Linked DNA regions of Rhinolophus ferrumequinum. The protein of the gene in region 1 interacts with the protein of each later gene in a pairwise test. Links are inferred from orthologs where the notes say so. Each region holds a gene or a part of one and is shown on either strand. Other genes may lie near its edges.

Region 1 (8,163 bases):
GGTAAGTTTACTAGACTAGGTCTTGGTGTTGGTCACCTGAATCAATATTTTTAGGTACATGGTATATTCTTTCAACGTGCAATTTCAAATATATATTTTTTTAATTTCAGGAAAATTTTCTTTAATTCTAGTATTTGTTTTAATTGCTTTGATTTCGTTTTTCAGGAACCCATTATTTGTTTTCTTTGCCTATCTTTTTAGTTACTTTCTCTTAAACCTTTATCTTTTAAAATTTCCTCTTCTACCTTTTTTTCCTCACCTTTTTTTTTACCTCGTGGCATCATTTGCTTTTGCCTTGCTACTACTTTAGGTTCCATTTCTGAAATGATTTTTTCATGTATGTTTAATTTTCCCTAGGTTCTGTCCCTTACTTCTGAATTTCCATAATTGATAAATGTTCTTTCACGTCTTATATCATTTTCTTAGTGTCTTTTAGCTCATTCTGAAATAGTAAGTTATAGTTGTGGTCTGTTTTGTGTGCATATTTTTATCGCAAGCTTTTATTGTCTGGGGGTGTACTATTTTGTTCCTTTTTTTCCCTGTAATAACTTTGCATGTTATTTTCACCTTGATACTTTTCTGTTGCTCATTTTTATGTAAATTTAATTTTCCTGAACTTTTAGAATGAGGAAGGGTTCAGGAAAGCCATAACTTCACAAGCTCCCTCTTCTGCTGTTTTGGGGTAGTGTTAAAAATTGGGTGGTTTGGTTGGTGGTTGTTTTCTAAGATTTCTTGACTTTGTAACCTCCCCCCACTTTTATCTGGACCTTCCTCTTCTCTTTTCTCTATTGTCCCTTTTCTGATAAAATTTCATTTTACTTCCAGCAGTTTCTCCTTAGTGTGGGCTCTGCCTTAGAATGGGGCCTTGGTAAGTCAGTTTGGAGAGTCCACAGGAGGTAGACTGCTCCTGCCCTTTAAAACGCCTTATTTACAGCTAGTTATCTAACTGGCCCTCAGAGTCTTTTAGGGAATATTCTGGAGTTCTCTTGTTCTCAGGTCCACAGATATTTCCCCATTGCTTCTTCCTTTCTCTTGCAGAAATGCCAATACTGATTGGGTCTAGAAGCTATTGGTAATTTGTCCTCAACTCCTTATATTCGTGGGGATACCCTGTTATGTGGTTTTGTTGTAATTGTTCTATGGATTTTAAGTTTTGCTATCTAATTGCTCTTTCTGTTTTTATGTAAGGATTCAGAGACCAAAACCTATGCTAGTATCACCACCACCACCCATCCTCTTTCCAGAACCCACCCCTCCTCCCAACCTTTTTCCAACCCCCTCCCCCCAGAACTAGCTTTTGAACCATTGTGATTCAGGCATTCGCATCTTTTATGTACTGCTTGAGAGAGTAGCATGGTAACCCTTTCTAACATTTGCTTTTGTGGTTGTTGTTAACAACCAGAATCAAAAATTTTTGAAACACATCATTTTGATGAACCCAGTTTAAATCTACCCTTAGTGTTCACGTCATAAAACTGCCTTGAAGAGACTGTTTTTGTTCTTCAGTAACAAACTCCTCAGCATGGAGAGAATAAGGGATACTTATTCTCTCCAAACCAAATTCTGTGCCAAAGAGTACAGAGCAAAAATATCACTGAACAAACTATGTATTATCAAGTCAGCTTCAATAACAATCACATTTTTTTCCACTTGAGAGAGAGAAAATGAATGATGTATTACAGATACTCAAACCTTTTTTGAATGAAGGACCAGGAAAAGTCAGTTTGTCGTCTCTATTTCTGCAATATACTGGTAACCTTTTTTACCCTCTTCTCTGGAAAGAAATGTCTGCCTAAATCTAACTCAACCCATGTTTCAAACAAATTAAAGGCAGACTACCATTTTGGAATTTTTTGTAAGCTTTTCCTCATTTACCAAATCTGATGGTGATCCAACAACAAGGAATCCTTTCTGGAAATTTAGCCCTACCTTCATGCTATGGTGTATTTTTAAAAAAGATTAAACCATAATTTAACAGCATGATGGTTGGTGTTGGATGGATGAACACCCCCGACTACGAATACAATGCTACCTATCACAATCAATTCAATTACCTATACACATTTCAAAACTATTTTTTTTCTGTAAAGCAGACAAGAGGTCTACTAAAATCATTAAATGTGACAAACACGTATCACCGAAAGTCTAGCAGTCTAAATGACTGCTTTCTATTCCTTCACAGTTGCGATATATACACTTCATTTTTGGAATGTACACATAAACGTCACCCTGGGCTCGTTATATACCAAATATTGCTGTAAGTAGTGTCTCTCCCTGACACACACACCTCCGCATGATGCCCCTTCCCCGTCCAAGTGTGTTTTGTTTTGGGGGGGAATGGGCATGCGGGGAGCCTCGGCGCCGGGTGGGGCGGGACGCAGCCTCCTCTAGAGGAGAGTAAACAAGGGGATTGCGTCGCGGAGGCGGCAGGAATCGCCCGTCCGTGGGTCCGTGGGTCCGTGGCCTTGGGCGGGGCCGGGAGGTCCCGGGCGGACGCCCTCGGCTCTGCGCTGGGAAACGCACCCTGCAGCTCCGGGGAGCACAGGGAAGAGGCGCTCAGTACGGCGCACTGGCCCAGCACCCGCTTTCGGAATCGCGGAAGGGCCTGCCAGGCAGGGAGCTGTCAGAACTGCGGCGCCCCCGAGGCTGCGCGCACAGAAACGCAGCCTGTCGTCGCCCCATTCGGGTCATCCGGGCGTCCGCAGCCCTTCTGCTGCCCTCGCCTCGCCACCCAGCCGGCAGACGACGAGCAGAAAGGGGGACTGGAGAGCCCCCGTCCCCGGGGGGAGCGGGCCGCGGGGCCCCGGGTCCTCGGCCTGCGGAGCCGCTGCCCCTCGCTCACCCACCTGATGCTCTTTCACCACTTCGCTGAGGCAGGGATACCGCTCCGAGATCCATCGGTAGAACTTGGGGACTCCCATTTCGACTGTCAACACTAACTCACCAGGGACAAACCGAAACCAAACGCCCCGCCGGGGCCTACACTCCGGGGCCTCCGGCCGTCGCTCCGCCGATGACAACACACCGCCCGCCGGATCATAGAGAGCGCCGCCGGGCCTAGAGCGGCCGGCTTCGAGGCCACATCCCCGGGGCGGGGCTCCGATCCCGGCCCCAGCTCACCGCGTGTGCTCGCTGCAGGGCACGTCTAAGAGCCCGAGGCGTTTGCGAGGTGAGTGTTCAACTCAGTTCTGAAAATGCCTGTTTACAGGCCATAAGGGGATTTGCAAGTGCTGCGAAACACTCACCTGATTGCTGGAGAGAGAATACTGAACACTGATTTTTGTCCTGGCTGCTTGAGTCGCCCGTGATGCTCATCTCGGTATTTTCAACACAGATTTGGAAAGGTCTGGTGATTTATTTGGTTTAGTTTTGTTTGGTGAGGGGGAGTTTTTTTCGGCAAAGTTTCTTTTAAAAACATTCTTTAACAAGTTATTTGTTGGAAAAAAATGTCCTAACTCCCTCCACCTCCCATCCCCGCCCAGCTTCCTCCTCAACTATTAATATTAGGCCTTAGATACGAAATTCTGTGTTTAGTTTTCACATTCATACCTCCTGGCTTATAGTGTTTTCCCCATCTCACTTTCAACCATGCAAAAAAATGCAGAATTCTCTCAAGTGAACTTACGTGAAATCATGTTACAAAGTTTTCCATTTATTTTAATGTAATAACCTCACTGCTTTGTAATTATTATGAATTATGTTAGGTCTTCTGCAGGAAAACCTGAAAAAATTAAAAAATTTTTTTTGTAGTTTTAAAATCTCATGAAATTTCAAGTGTTGCTGCCTTCCAAGACCACTGGATTCTGTATTTGGGTGTTTCAGTATGGCAGCATCTTCAAAATTACAGAATGTTTCTATAGTTTTCATATTCGTGCTTCGTGGCTTGTTTTTTTTCTCTATCACATTTTCAGCCATACACAAAAAAGAGTTTATTAAGTGAACTTATGTGATGTGCTATTTATGTTTGTATCTCTGATTTACTAGACTGTCAGTTTCTAGAGGGCAGAATACATAAGCTCTGAGCACAAATCTAGCACCGTGCTTGGTGCACAGAATTTATTAACATATTTTTGTGTTCAAATGAATCCTTATGCTATTGAGTACTTAAAAATAAAAGTTGTAAAATGAAATTAGGCTAGATTTTTTCTTGCAAATACATATTTTTAGAGCATCAAAACATAGGATGTTCCATTTCTCTGGTTATAATACACACTATATATTAAGAAAGCAATTTATTTCTTAATAACATATATTATTTTAAATATTATTAACAATCAAGGAGAAATAATACCAGTTGCTCTGAGAACATAAAGCAGCTTATGTTGAACTTTGGAATTGAACAAATACAACCACAAATTAATACCAAGTGCATTAATTTTAGGTTATTAACATATTCTTTGAAGTAATTTCATTTCACATATATGGGGTCCAACCAAGGTACATTTGGCATAGTAAATTTTCATCAGTAGCTTCTTGTATAAGGTAATGCACATGTCCTTCAATAGATAATGGCAGCCCAGTCACTCTATTTCGGGTCTTGATTACACCTTGCAGTCTCTGCTCAATGTCAAGAACATGAGTCTTGGCCTAAAAGGAAGAAATTGAAAATCATAAAGGCTAAAATAAAAACTCAATGACATGTGCATGTTGATTTTGGAATTACTACCTTTCTGTTATTTAACAAATGTTAATGCCATTTTACCCCTTATGTAAGAGCAAATACAAAAGAGAGAAGAAATGAAACAAGAACGACAACCTACAATAACTGACTTTAAGGCTTGCAATGTTGATCCAACATCAACTGCTTAGACATTTTTCTGTAGTATGTGAAAACCAGGGATATCTCTTCCACATTATAATTCTAGAAAAATAGTAACTTTAAAAAATCTATCCTGAATCTGTTTAGGACTTAAATATTTGGATGAATATTCTAATAATAACAACAATACTTTAATGCCTAATATTTAGATTATGTTAGTATATGCAAATAGAAGTGCTAAGTGAGCTAGTTAGAATTTACACATTTCTCTCAATCGAAAAAGCATATCAGAATGCAAAAGTGAGAATGATGTTAGAAAAACAATCTTCCATCTATTCTAACTTATAAAAATAACTATCTGCAAACTTGGATGCTTCAACTAATATTAGTAAGGAGTGAATTCTACATATTAAAGCTGAGACCTGTTACTGTGTAAGTCCACGCAATTTGTCTTCAAGTTTTTCCCACTCTATCTCATAATTGTGAATTGTCTATGGCTAAACAAGTGTGACCTGAACTCTGCTTTTATTATACAAAGATAATGTTAACATTAGTAATGACAATAAAGAAAACTTAGGGTATTGACATACTACAGAACTGGATTTCAGAGTACTCCATGGTCAGTCACTGACAGTATTTAGAATCAGCTTGCGTTTGTAGAGATACACAATATCAAATCAAGCTACACCTTCTACAAACCTTTTCATTGACGACTTCCCCAGTTTCATTTGGTGGCGCTTTGGAATGGCCTTTCACCGGTTTACTCCATTCCACAAGAGGATCATGTAGAAAAGTCTTTAAGACACTGAAATGGAAACAAAAATATTATGGTAATAATACAGTGTTATCTTTGCAAAAAGAAATCTTGATAAAGTCAATACTTAGGTGAAAAATAAGTGAAGGATGAAAAGCTAATGGTAATGCTCTTACACAATTACTGTTTCAGTAAAATATATGAAATTATTCTTTTGGGGTATGGAGGGAAGGGGAAGACAAAAGACAGGGTCAGAGGTATTCTTAGAGAGTAAAGAAAGATGAGTTCTGTGTGCTGTCTCTAAATGCATCATGTAAACTGGTTAACGAATATTTATTAAATGAGTGAATTTCATCCCCTGCCATGTCTCCACAATGACCATAAAACATCTATAGCTTTCCATGTAGACCAGGGGTGTCCAAACTTTTTTCAACGGTTTTCACCAAGGGCCATATGCAGTAAAATACACAAACAGCCGGGCCACTCACTCGAGGTGAAGTACATACTGCCTCACCGGGTTTATTTAAGTAAACTAAATATATTTTTGGAATTTGCTGCGGGCCAATTAAAAATGGATTGCGGACCACAGTTGGCCCGCGGGCCGCAGTTTGGACACCCGTGATACAGACCTACCCAGATTCTTCTACTATGCTCTAAAAGTCAAATCCAATTCCCTGTGGGAAAACCAAATGGGTATCTTGTAGGCACATCAAATTCAATGTTTTCAAAACAAAACTCATGACTCTTTCCCAAACTATATCTCCTGTATTCCTCAAATCAGTAAAGAACGACATTATTCACCCATTGGCCCTAAACAAAAATCTAGGAATCATCCTGGCTTCCTCAATTCTACCTCCTAAATCTCTTTAGAGTCTCTCTACTTATCTCCATCTTTACTGTCACTACCTCATTCAGTGCACCATCATTTTTTTCTTGGGTTAATGCAACAGTCCTTTAACTAGCTTTCTGGACTCTAGTGCAAACTGGAACTATAATTTTTCTACAGTACAAATCTGATGATCTCATTTTCTCTTCTTTTTTTATTTTCTTCTTAGTATCCTCCAATGATTTCTGGTTGTTCTCAGGGCAAAGTTTGAATGTGTAAACTGGCCTCATGTGGACTTTTCAGAATCTAGCTCTGCTCATCTGTCCTTAAAAAAAACTACTGTTGAGCTTTGAACGATACAGGTTTGAACTGTGCAGGTCCACTTATATGTAGATTTTTTCAATAAATATGTACCGTACTATAATTACAATTTTCTTAATAACATTAGCTTTTTTCTGGTTTACTTTTTATTGTAAGAATACAGTACATAAAAAACACGAAACATACAAATTATGTGTTAATCAACTGTTTACGAGTAAGACTTCCAGACAACTGTAGGCTATTAGTAGTTATGTTTTTGGGGAGTTACATGCAGATTTTCAACTGTGCAGGGGGTCAGTGCCCCTAATCCCCATAATGTTCAAGGGTCAACTGTACCTCCAACAGCTAACATAATATTTAATAGTGAAAGATGGACTTCTTTACCACTGAAATCAGGACAAGACAAGAATGTAGATTCTCTCCATGTCTACTTAACATTGATCTAGCTAGGGCAATTGGGCAAGAAAAAGAAAAGGCATTGAGATTAGAAAGGAAGGAGTAAAACTGTATCTGCAGATGATGTGCTGTTGTAGAGAGAAAAATTTAACGTGTCTACAAAAATAACTATAAGAAGTAATAAACAAGTTCAGTGAGGTTGCAGGATACAAGATCAATCTACAAATATCAGTTATATTTCTATATACTAGCAATCAACAATTCAAAAATGAAACTAAGAATATCCCACTAGAATAGCATTAAAAGGAATAAAATACTTAAAAACTTGCAAACCAAAAACTACAAAATGTTGAAAGAAATTAAAGAAGACTTAAATAGAAAGCAATCTCACATGCACAGATCACAAGACTTAATACTGGTAAGACTGCAATACTTCTCAAATTGATTTAGATTCAATGTCATTCCTATCAAATCCAGGCTGTCTTTTTGCAGAGATTGACAAGTTGATCTTAAAATTCAGATGGAAATGCAAGGGACCCGTAACAGCCAAACAATCTTGCAAAAGATGAAAATGTTGAGCACTCACACTTCCTGATTTAAAAACTGACTACAAAGCTACAGTGATCCAGTGTGTGTTCTTGGCATTCGTTAGAAATAAAGATCAATGGAATAAAACTGAGAGCACAGAAATAAACCCTTATGTATATGGTAAATTGATTTCAACAAAAGTGCCAAGACAAATAAACTAATCAGAAACAGTCTCGGAGACATAGAGGAAAAACTGAGGGTTGCTAGATGGGAGGGGGGGGGGGAATAAGGGGGTAGATGAGGGGATTAGAAAGCAGTCAGTAACCATAAGATTGCCATGGGGATACGAAAGTCAATTTGGGGAATCTAATCAATACTGTTGTAAAGATTTTGTAGGGTATTCGATGGACACTTGTCTCATTAGGGAGACCACCTCAGGGATGATGTAGATGCCTGATCACTGCACTGTACACCTGAAGCTGAAGCTAAACAATAATGAATGTCAACTACAAGTTTATATATATATACATAGTTACAAGAAGTGGAGTACAGAATTAGGAATAGTGACAGTGGAAATGT
Region 2 (7,371 bases), on another chromosome or scaffold:
CGAGAGTGTGAATCCCCCAGCCCCTCAGGTCCTGGAAGGCCGGGTGGTGGGCCCCAGGCCACCCCGGCTTCCGGGCTGACCCTCCCCCCGCCCCCGCCCGCCCTGGGCTCGCGCCCCGGCACATTCCGTCCTCCCCGCACCGCCCCGCCCTCCTCCCTCAGCCCCGCGGGGATGGAAACATCCCATCCGCGCCCAGCTGAGAGCTGGGTCAAGGAGCCCGACAAGAGGGGAGCGCCTGAGCCCCCGACGCCCCGGGAACTGGCTCTCCTGGTTCCTACCGGGTGACCTCACCTGGCCCCGCCCCCTCAGGTGAATGGCCAGGTCAGGTGACGTCACTTCCTGCCAGGTAAGCGCGGCTGGTGGCTGTGGCTCCGGGAAGGTTTGAAGGAACTGTGTGAATCGACTCAACCCGCTTCTAAAAAGGGGCACACCATCCTCCCCACTCTCACTGCCTCTAGATCGCAGGAAAGCCAGGATTCCAGTTTACACATAGATGCCTTTTATTCAAAAATTCAAAAAAACACAGAAAAATAAACTTTTAACAATATATATTACTTAATATATTATTATAGTACACTTACAACAATAATTATCCATCGTTTCCAATATTACAAAAAGGAGGAAGAAAAATACAAGGGAAGCAGACGACCCAATATATATAAATACTATAAAATCTATTAGAATAAATAAAGTCGTCATAAATAAAGGGCCCAATGATTGGGGGAGGGGGGTTGGCAACGTTTTGGCTACTTGCTTTTGGAGGGAAACTTGAGCACCAGGATTGCCCCTCATGGGGAGGCTCCAGTCACACCAGAACCTCAGGGTCTAGGAAAAACTGGGAGGGGGCAGTGGGGGCCTATTTATTCACAGCATTGGGCAGGGGAGAGGGTGGGGGGAAGAGGCCTCACTGCCTCCCTTAAATTTGCTACATCTTTTTTAATACAAAGACTTCAGAATACACTCCTTCCCCCAACACCATGAACTTGCACACTGGGGACCTGCCCCAGTATGGGGTCAGTGGAGTGGGTTAATGCATTTTGGAAGACGGGGGCTACTTGATTATAAGAGTTCCCCACAGTACAAGAGAAATGGCCCCCCTTAAGATCCAGCTGATCTGTACTGGGCAGGCACTTGTCACTCAGACACGGAGATGCGATTGAAGATGGGGAGTCGCCGAGAGGCTGCAGGTGGCTGGGGTGGCCCAAAAACCCCAGCCTCAAAGACTGGTGAGTCGGACCCTCCCAGGCTGCTGCCGCTACTGGCATATTCATCAGGGTCAGATCCCAGGGAGTGTGCAGAGGGGCTCCGAGCCAGGCCACCCACGGGTCCCCAGACGCTGCTGGGTGTGGCCCTTCGGCAGGAGGGACAACAGGCTGGGGTAGGGTCCCTTCGGGCCACAGGGGTCCCAGGGGCAGCAGAGAAGGCAGAGGGTGAAAGTGGAAAATCCCCAGGTGGTGGTGGTGGGGAGCTGGAGGGCGAGAAGGAGCATGAGGACAGGGAAGGGCCTGCTAGGCCTGCCGGTGGTGGCGAGGCTCGGCGGCCTGAGGGCAGGCCTGAGAAGCTGATGCTCTGGCGCAGGACATGGGGGTGGCCAGGGGCAGCCAGGTCCTCGCTGGGGTTGTGAATGAAGTGGCAACGCGAGCCATAGGGGCAGCGGCCCTGGAGGTAGAACTTGTGGCAGAGTTCCGTCTTGTACTTGGGGTGGCGACTGGCCTGGCGCAGCTCACCCAGGCCATGGGCAAACTGGCACTTAGCCCCGTAGCGGCAGCGTCCACTCTCTGAGAAGGTCCGACAAAGCTCAGTCTTGTATCGGGATGAGGTGGTGGGGGTCGCAGTAGGTGAGGTGGGTGAGGGCGACAGCTCAGGGCCTGGGCGGGGAGGCAGGGGTGCGAAGCCTGGGGGTGGGGGCACCCAGCCACAGCTCCGACCCTCCACCAGGCTGGTGGAGCGGCCAGGCAGGCGGGCAACAACCCCAGATGGGTTGGAATCAGATGAGCTGAAGCTCCAGAGTCCTGAGGAGGCCCAGCCTGGGCTGGATTCAGTGTCTCCATGGTCGGATGGCAGGTCAGGGCTCAGCGACAGGAGGCTCTGTGGGAACAGGGATCGGTTAAGACACCGAAAATGCAGGGTGACGCCTCTCCTCAGCTTCAGGGCACCTAGGAGCTTGCCAGTCCGGTTTGTGGGCTCCTAGCCTTAGCCCCACCCGCCCGCAGAAACTCATAGGTTCCGGATCGGAGGGACCCCGAATTGGAGGTTGAGTTTATTAGCGAATGAAGCCTATCTCGAAGGACCCAGGAATCCTGGGTCCCCCGGCTGGATGGAGAGGCCCCCAAACTCAGGGGCACACCAATGCCCTCCAATTTTGAGCCTTCGGGCCTCTTGGGATTTGACCCCCACTCCTTGTGTTCTCTGGTTTCACAACTGGAGGAGCCGGCAAAGTTAACCTAGCAGTTGGATCTTTTAGGTTTTGAGTCCCAGAGAACTCCTCTGGGTCAGGGAGTGGAGACAGAAGTCGGTTTCCCATCACCCCGAGACTCCAGCCCCAGAAACGCCTCCGCGCAAAACCGCGCCCTCAGCAACTACTGGGGGGAAGCCAGGTGTGGGGCCATTTCCGCCTCCACACAGCCCTAGTCTGAGAAAACTCCTCCCGCTTTCCATCTCCAAGGGTCACCCCACCCATGTTTGGGCAGAGACCCTAAAGTCGCGGGCTCCATTTTTCACCTCCAAGGAATCACATTAGTCTGAGAAGGAAGGCAAGAGCCCGGCCGGAGAGTACGGCGCTAAGGAGTTCCACTTAGAGAAGAGAGCCAGGGATCCCGGGCTGGAGTTTGCGGCGGTAGAGAGCCCTAGTTTGAGAAGGAAGTCAGGCATTGGGACCCCAGGGTACCGATCGGCGGAGACTCACCTCGTAGATGGCGGTGAGATCCATGGCGGCGCGGAGAGCCGATCAACGGTGAACCCGGCCGAAAGTAGGAGAGCGCTGGAGTGAGACTACCGCCCGGTGTAGGAGCCGGTGCTTTTATGAGATAAGTGGAGGCGGGGCCATGAGGGGGCGGGCCTGGTGGGCGGGGTCACGATGGGGCGCTTCCCGGACGCGCGCCCCCAGCGCAGCCCGCCGACCCGGGACTGGTCCCGGTTCCGCCTGGCTCCCAGCCCGGATGCGCACGAGCTGGGCCCGCAGGCGGCCGCGACCCGGTGGGGAGTTTGTGGGGTGCGGGTATCCACCCAGTTTTCAAGGCTGGAGACTGAGGCGCGATATAGGAACTGGGACCGAGGTGGGGGCAGGGTTCCTAGGAGAACTGACAAGGGCAGAGGCCGAGGCAGTGGGAGTGCGTGTGAGAGACAGACGGACGGGGGCGGGGAGAGGCGCGGAGAGCCAGAGACGGAGAAATGGAGAGAGGCAAACAGAAAAACACAAGAGACACAGCAGAGTGAGGGAGAGACATACACAGGGAAGGAGAGAGAGAGGGAAGAGAAGAGAGACTGGGTAAGGAGAGGAGAGGAGGTGGGGAGACAGACAGAAAAGACATGACAGAGACAGTCCCAGAAACAAATTCAGAGAAGTGAGAGGGAGGGTCACATAAAGAAACAGAAAAAGAGGTTGAAAAAATAGAAACAAACACCCTTAGACAGAAATCCGCAGGAGCAAAACAGAGAAAGGCAACCAACAGGCTTGGCAGGGAATTCTCTCCCGAGACCTGCCGGCCTGGCTTCGTCTCGCTCAAACATCCCAGATCCGGAGACCTTGACCGCCCTCCCCGCCCCCACTCTCCAGGGGTGGGGTCCTGGATATTTGGCGAGGCTGGAAAGGGGCCTCCTTTCCCAATTCCAGAGCCACTGTAGCCTCTCGCCCTCCCACAGATAGTGGCACTTCTGATCGCTTCCTCTAGGCTAGGCACTGTTGTATGAAAGTGTTTTACATACATACATTAACTCAAGGAGGGGTTACTGTGACCATTTTATACACGAGGAAACCCAGGCATAGAGGTCAAGTTACTCTCCTATTCTCATTCAATAAGTGGCAGCAGCCCAACACCAGGGCTTTAAATTATGTTGCATTTGCCTTCTCGGAGAACTCAAGATCGGAAAGGGCAAGATCTTTCATTGTGGTGGCGGGTTACCTTGATGGAAAGCTGTTTTGATATGGAAGTAATGGGTCATCCCCAATTGATAGCCCAATGGGTATCATAAAGGGGTGTACCTTGAGGGAATTCTAAACTTACGGGGATCACTCCCCACATAAGCAAGCCGTTTATTGGTAAGCGGTTGCCCTTCGTAAAAACATCAAGATCTGGGAAGAAAACTCGTTTCTTAAGGGAGTCTTGGTGAGCTGGCTGCCCTGAGTGAAAATATGGGAGCAGAAACCATTGCCATGGAGTGCTGTTATAATAGTGCCAAGTTCATTCTTGCAGATTGAAGTGGGGAGATTCGGCAAGGCACACCGACCCGCCTTGTCGGACAGAGCTCGGGGAAATCCCTGGTGCGGCGCCTTCTGGGGCTGAGGGGGCCTTCCCGACCAGTCCCGTGAGCTGGGTGGCTGCGGGCGGCTCTGGCACGGTTGCAGCCTCCCGCTCGCCCGTGACTCACTCGCAAGGGGCGGGGGAGGGGGCCTTCCTGGAAGCCGTGACGAGGAGGCTCAGCCCGGACGCCAGGGTTCCTCTCCTGTAACCAGGGCTTCAGTCGCCTGTAAACAGAGCCTCGAGGACAACGGGAAAAGGGGGGAAAGGCGGGGTGCCTGGCACCCGTCTCCCGGTTGGGCTCCAAATCCCTGTGCCGCTAGTAGGACGAAGGCAGCAGGAAAACGGGAGGTGGGGTGCACCTGGGGTCCCCGGAGTCCGGCTTGGCGCCAGCCTCGATCTGGGAGGAGGGATTCCAGTTTCGATTCCCTGGAGACAGGGAACATTTCCCATCCCTGAGTCAGGCTGACCCCCTCCCCTCTCCCATCTGCTGAGTCATCGGCCCAAGAGCCTGGACGCTTTGGATTGGGCGACTCTTGAAGAGGCTGGAAGGGGGTTGGGGGGGCTTTGCACCGGAAAGGACCGACCCCGAAACCCGGACGGGTGGGACCCAGGAGACCGGGCCTCGATCCCTCCTTGCTCAGATCTAGGGGTCCAGGTCTCCAAGCCACCTCTGGCTTAGACCCAGGAGAGCCGACCTCCAGTCCCTCCTAGGTTAGACCCTAAAGTCCGAACCCCCAGCCCCTCCTCCCTCCGATTTAGGAGGCCAGCTCTCCACCCACCTCCCACCCTATCCTGGCCTCAGACGTCCCAGCCCAGGAGGAAATTCAGGGCAGGACTCCTCCCCACGCCCCACGTAGCCGGCGGGAAAATCCGTGGCCCCAGCGGCGGCCGGGAATCCCCTCTGGAATGACGGTGGGGAAGGGGATGGCCGGGGTCCCCGGCGGGGTGCAGGGGGCAACTCCTGGGCGGGCAGGAGCTGGGGGAAAGGGGCGGAAACCAGAGAAGCTAAAAATACAACGAGCACTTCCGGCCTAGGGGGAGGGGAACGGAGCGCAGTTTCCAGAAAAACAAGCGGGGACGGGAAATGCGGGGGTGTGAGAGCCGGGGCTAGTGCGCGGGCGAGCGGGGGCCGTGTACTCGCGGCGGCACGTGTGCCCAGGCCGAGTGTGCGCCTGGTGTGATTGGGCGTGAGCGGGTGCGGCCGGCTTTGTGCAACTGCGTGGGCCTGAGAAAGAGAGAGAGAGAGAGAGAGAGAGAGAGAGAGAGAGAGAGAGAGAGAGAGAGAGAGAGAGAGAGAGAGAGAGAGAGAGAGAGAGAGAGAGAGAGAGAGAGAGAGTTTGTGTGTGTATATGTGTGTCGTATATTGTGTGAAGTATGCGCTGCAGGTGCGAAGGTGTGTGCCCTGGCGTGACTGGGTTAAGACCTGGGGTACCTGGGTATGCCATTGCACCAATAGGTGTGGGACACGAGCGGGCCCACTTCCCTGTGTGAGGGCTGTGTATTTTCAATCCCACTTGACATGGCTGTGAATAAATTGTGTGAAACCGCTTGGGCCTGTGACTGATTTATACTGTTTTTACTTTAACCATCTCTGGGTGTGGGAGTGTGTACTCAACCTTGTCTTTGAGGTGGTGTTGGTGTGACTTACAAACCCAACCTGCAGGTCTCTTGTACCTCTGAACCACTGTGGGATCTGGAGTGACTAAGTGTGTGTAACTCCGTGAGAGCCTGGTGAGGGTATGACTGACTGCCCTCTGCTGCGATGAGGATCTGCATACACACGTCCAAGTTGAGTATGTATAAGCATCTGTGAGACTATTGGCAGTTGCGGCTGTGTACAGGCCCCTGCAGTTCATGTGTGTAGTGAATAGTGTTCTTATGTGTCTGTGTCCTTATTTGGGGGTGTCACTGAGAACATACGAGGCCAGCATCTGGTGGTTCCTCTGTGGCCCAGTCACAAGGTAGTGAAACTGGTGAACTTTGGTTCCTGACGTCTACAGCTGGCGCATGACGGGGAGGTTGTGGGCGCACTCTCCACTCCATGTCTCTGCCAGCCTGTATGGGCAGAGCAGACACACACAGGCGCACATACTGGCACCTGGGAAACCTTATCTCTCCCAGCCAAGGCTGCTTTTGATAATGTTGAGCTGAGGGCATGGCTGAGTCAGCCAGTGATGGGCAAAGTCTGCGATGGGGTAAGAGATAGCAGGTTAAGTAGTGGTTAGAGTGCTGTTTGTGTATTCACATGGATTGTTCCTTTAGTCTGATGTGGGTTTGTCACTGGGACTGAGAGCCTGGGGACACCATGATAATAGGATGGTGGGTTATGCTATTCTCTGCTGGGGTGGGGTCTTGTATGTGCTTGTGTCCCCCAAAACAGTTTGCTGTGTGGCAGTGCATCTCATGTACACCCTTCCCTGGAGAGTGTGGTCGTGCAACAGGCTGTACGTTGCCCTCTGGGTCAAATAACCTAGTGAAGATCTAAACCAAGGGCCTCCATAACCTGCCTGGACATCTGTCCCTGCCTCTTCACTGTGGTCCAGGACTCCACGTTATTCCATAAACACACTGTCACTTTCCAGCCTCAGGGCCTTTGCACTTGCCATTCCCGTCCTGGAACGCTCTTTTCCCCAATGTCCACATTATTCTCTCTCCAAGTCTGCTTTCTCATCGAGGCCTTCATGTCATGTCAAGGATTTTAAAAGTTAAAAAAACCCACAAATCTTGGTATATTTAACAAATAACAAATACATGTAACATCTATTTACAGACCATAATGAATACCCATGAACCACTACCCAACCTAAGCTCTAACTTTCTCAATAAAGTAACATAATTCTCCACACAAGTCTTGCATGTTAGATTCCTAAGTACCTTTGTTATTTTTTTCTATTAAAAGTCTCCACTTCTG

Evidence for each region. The genes of interacting proteins can lie anywhere in the genome.
Region 2: the proteins of XRN1 (region 1) and ZFP36 interact in a two-hybrid assay, tested with the Homo sapiens proteins (2 studies listed by BioGRID). The link is inferred for Rhinolophus ferrumequinum from reciprocal best matches to the Homo sapiens genes XRN1 and ZFP36.

Annotation. Positions count from the first base shown.
Region 1 is NC_046285.1:1,789,797-1,797,959, forward strand, and holds the start of XRN1 (5'-3' exoribonuclease 1), read right to left. Parts: upstream 3,063-8,163; 5' UTR 2,922-3,062; coding exon 2,847-2,921; intron 1-2,846. Other genes in the region: serine/threonine-protein kinase ATR, read right to left, coding at 4,414-4,587, 5,459-5,564. UniProt on the Homo sapiens protein: Major 5'-3' exoribonuclease involved in mRNA decay. Required for the 5'-3'-processing of the G4 tetraplex-containing DNA and RNA substrates. The kinetic of hydrolysis is faster for G4 RNA tetraplex than for G4 DNA tetraplex and monomeric RNA tetraplex.
Region 2 is NC_046298.1:38,568,308-38,575,678, reverse strand, and holds ZFP36 (mRNA decay activator protein ZFP36), read right to left. Parts: upstream 3,030-7,371; 5' UTR 2,930-3,029; coding exon 2,906-2,929; intron 2,089-2,905; coding exon 1,135-2,088; 3' UTR 499-1,134; downstream 1-498. UniProt on the Homo sapiens protein: Zinc-finger RNA-binding protein that destabilizes several cytoplasmic AU-rich element (ARE)-containing mRNA transcripts by promoting their poly(A) tail removal or deadenylation, and hence provide a mechanism for attenuating protein synthesis.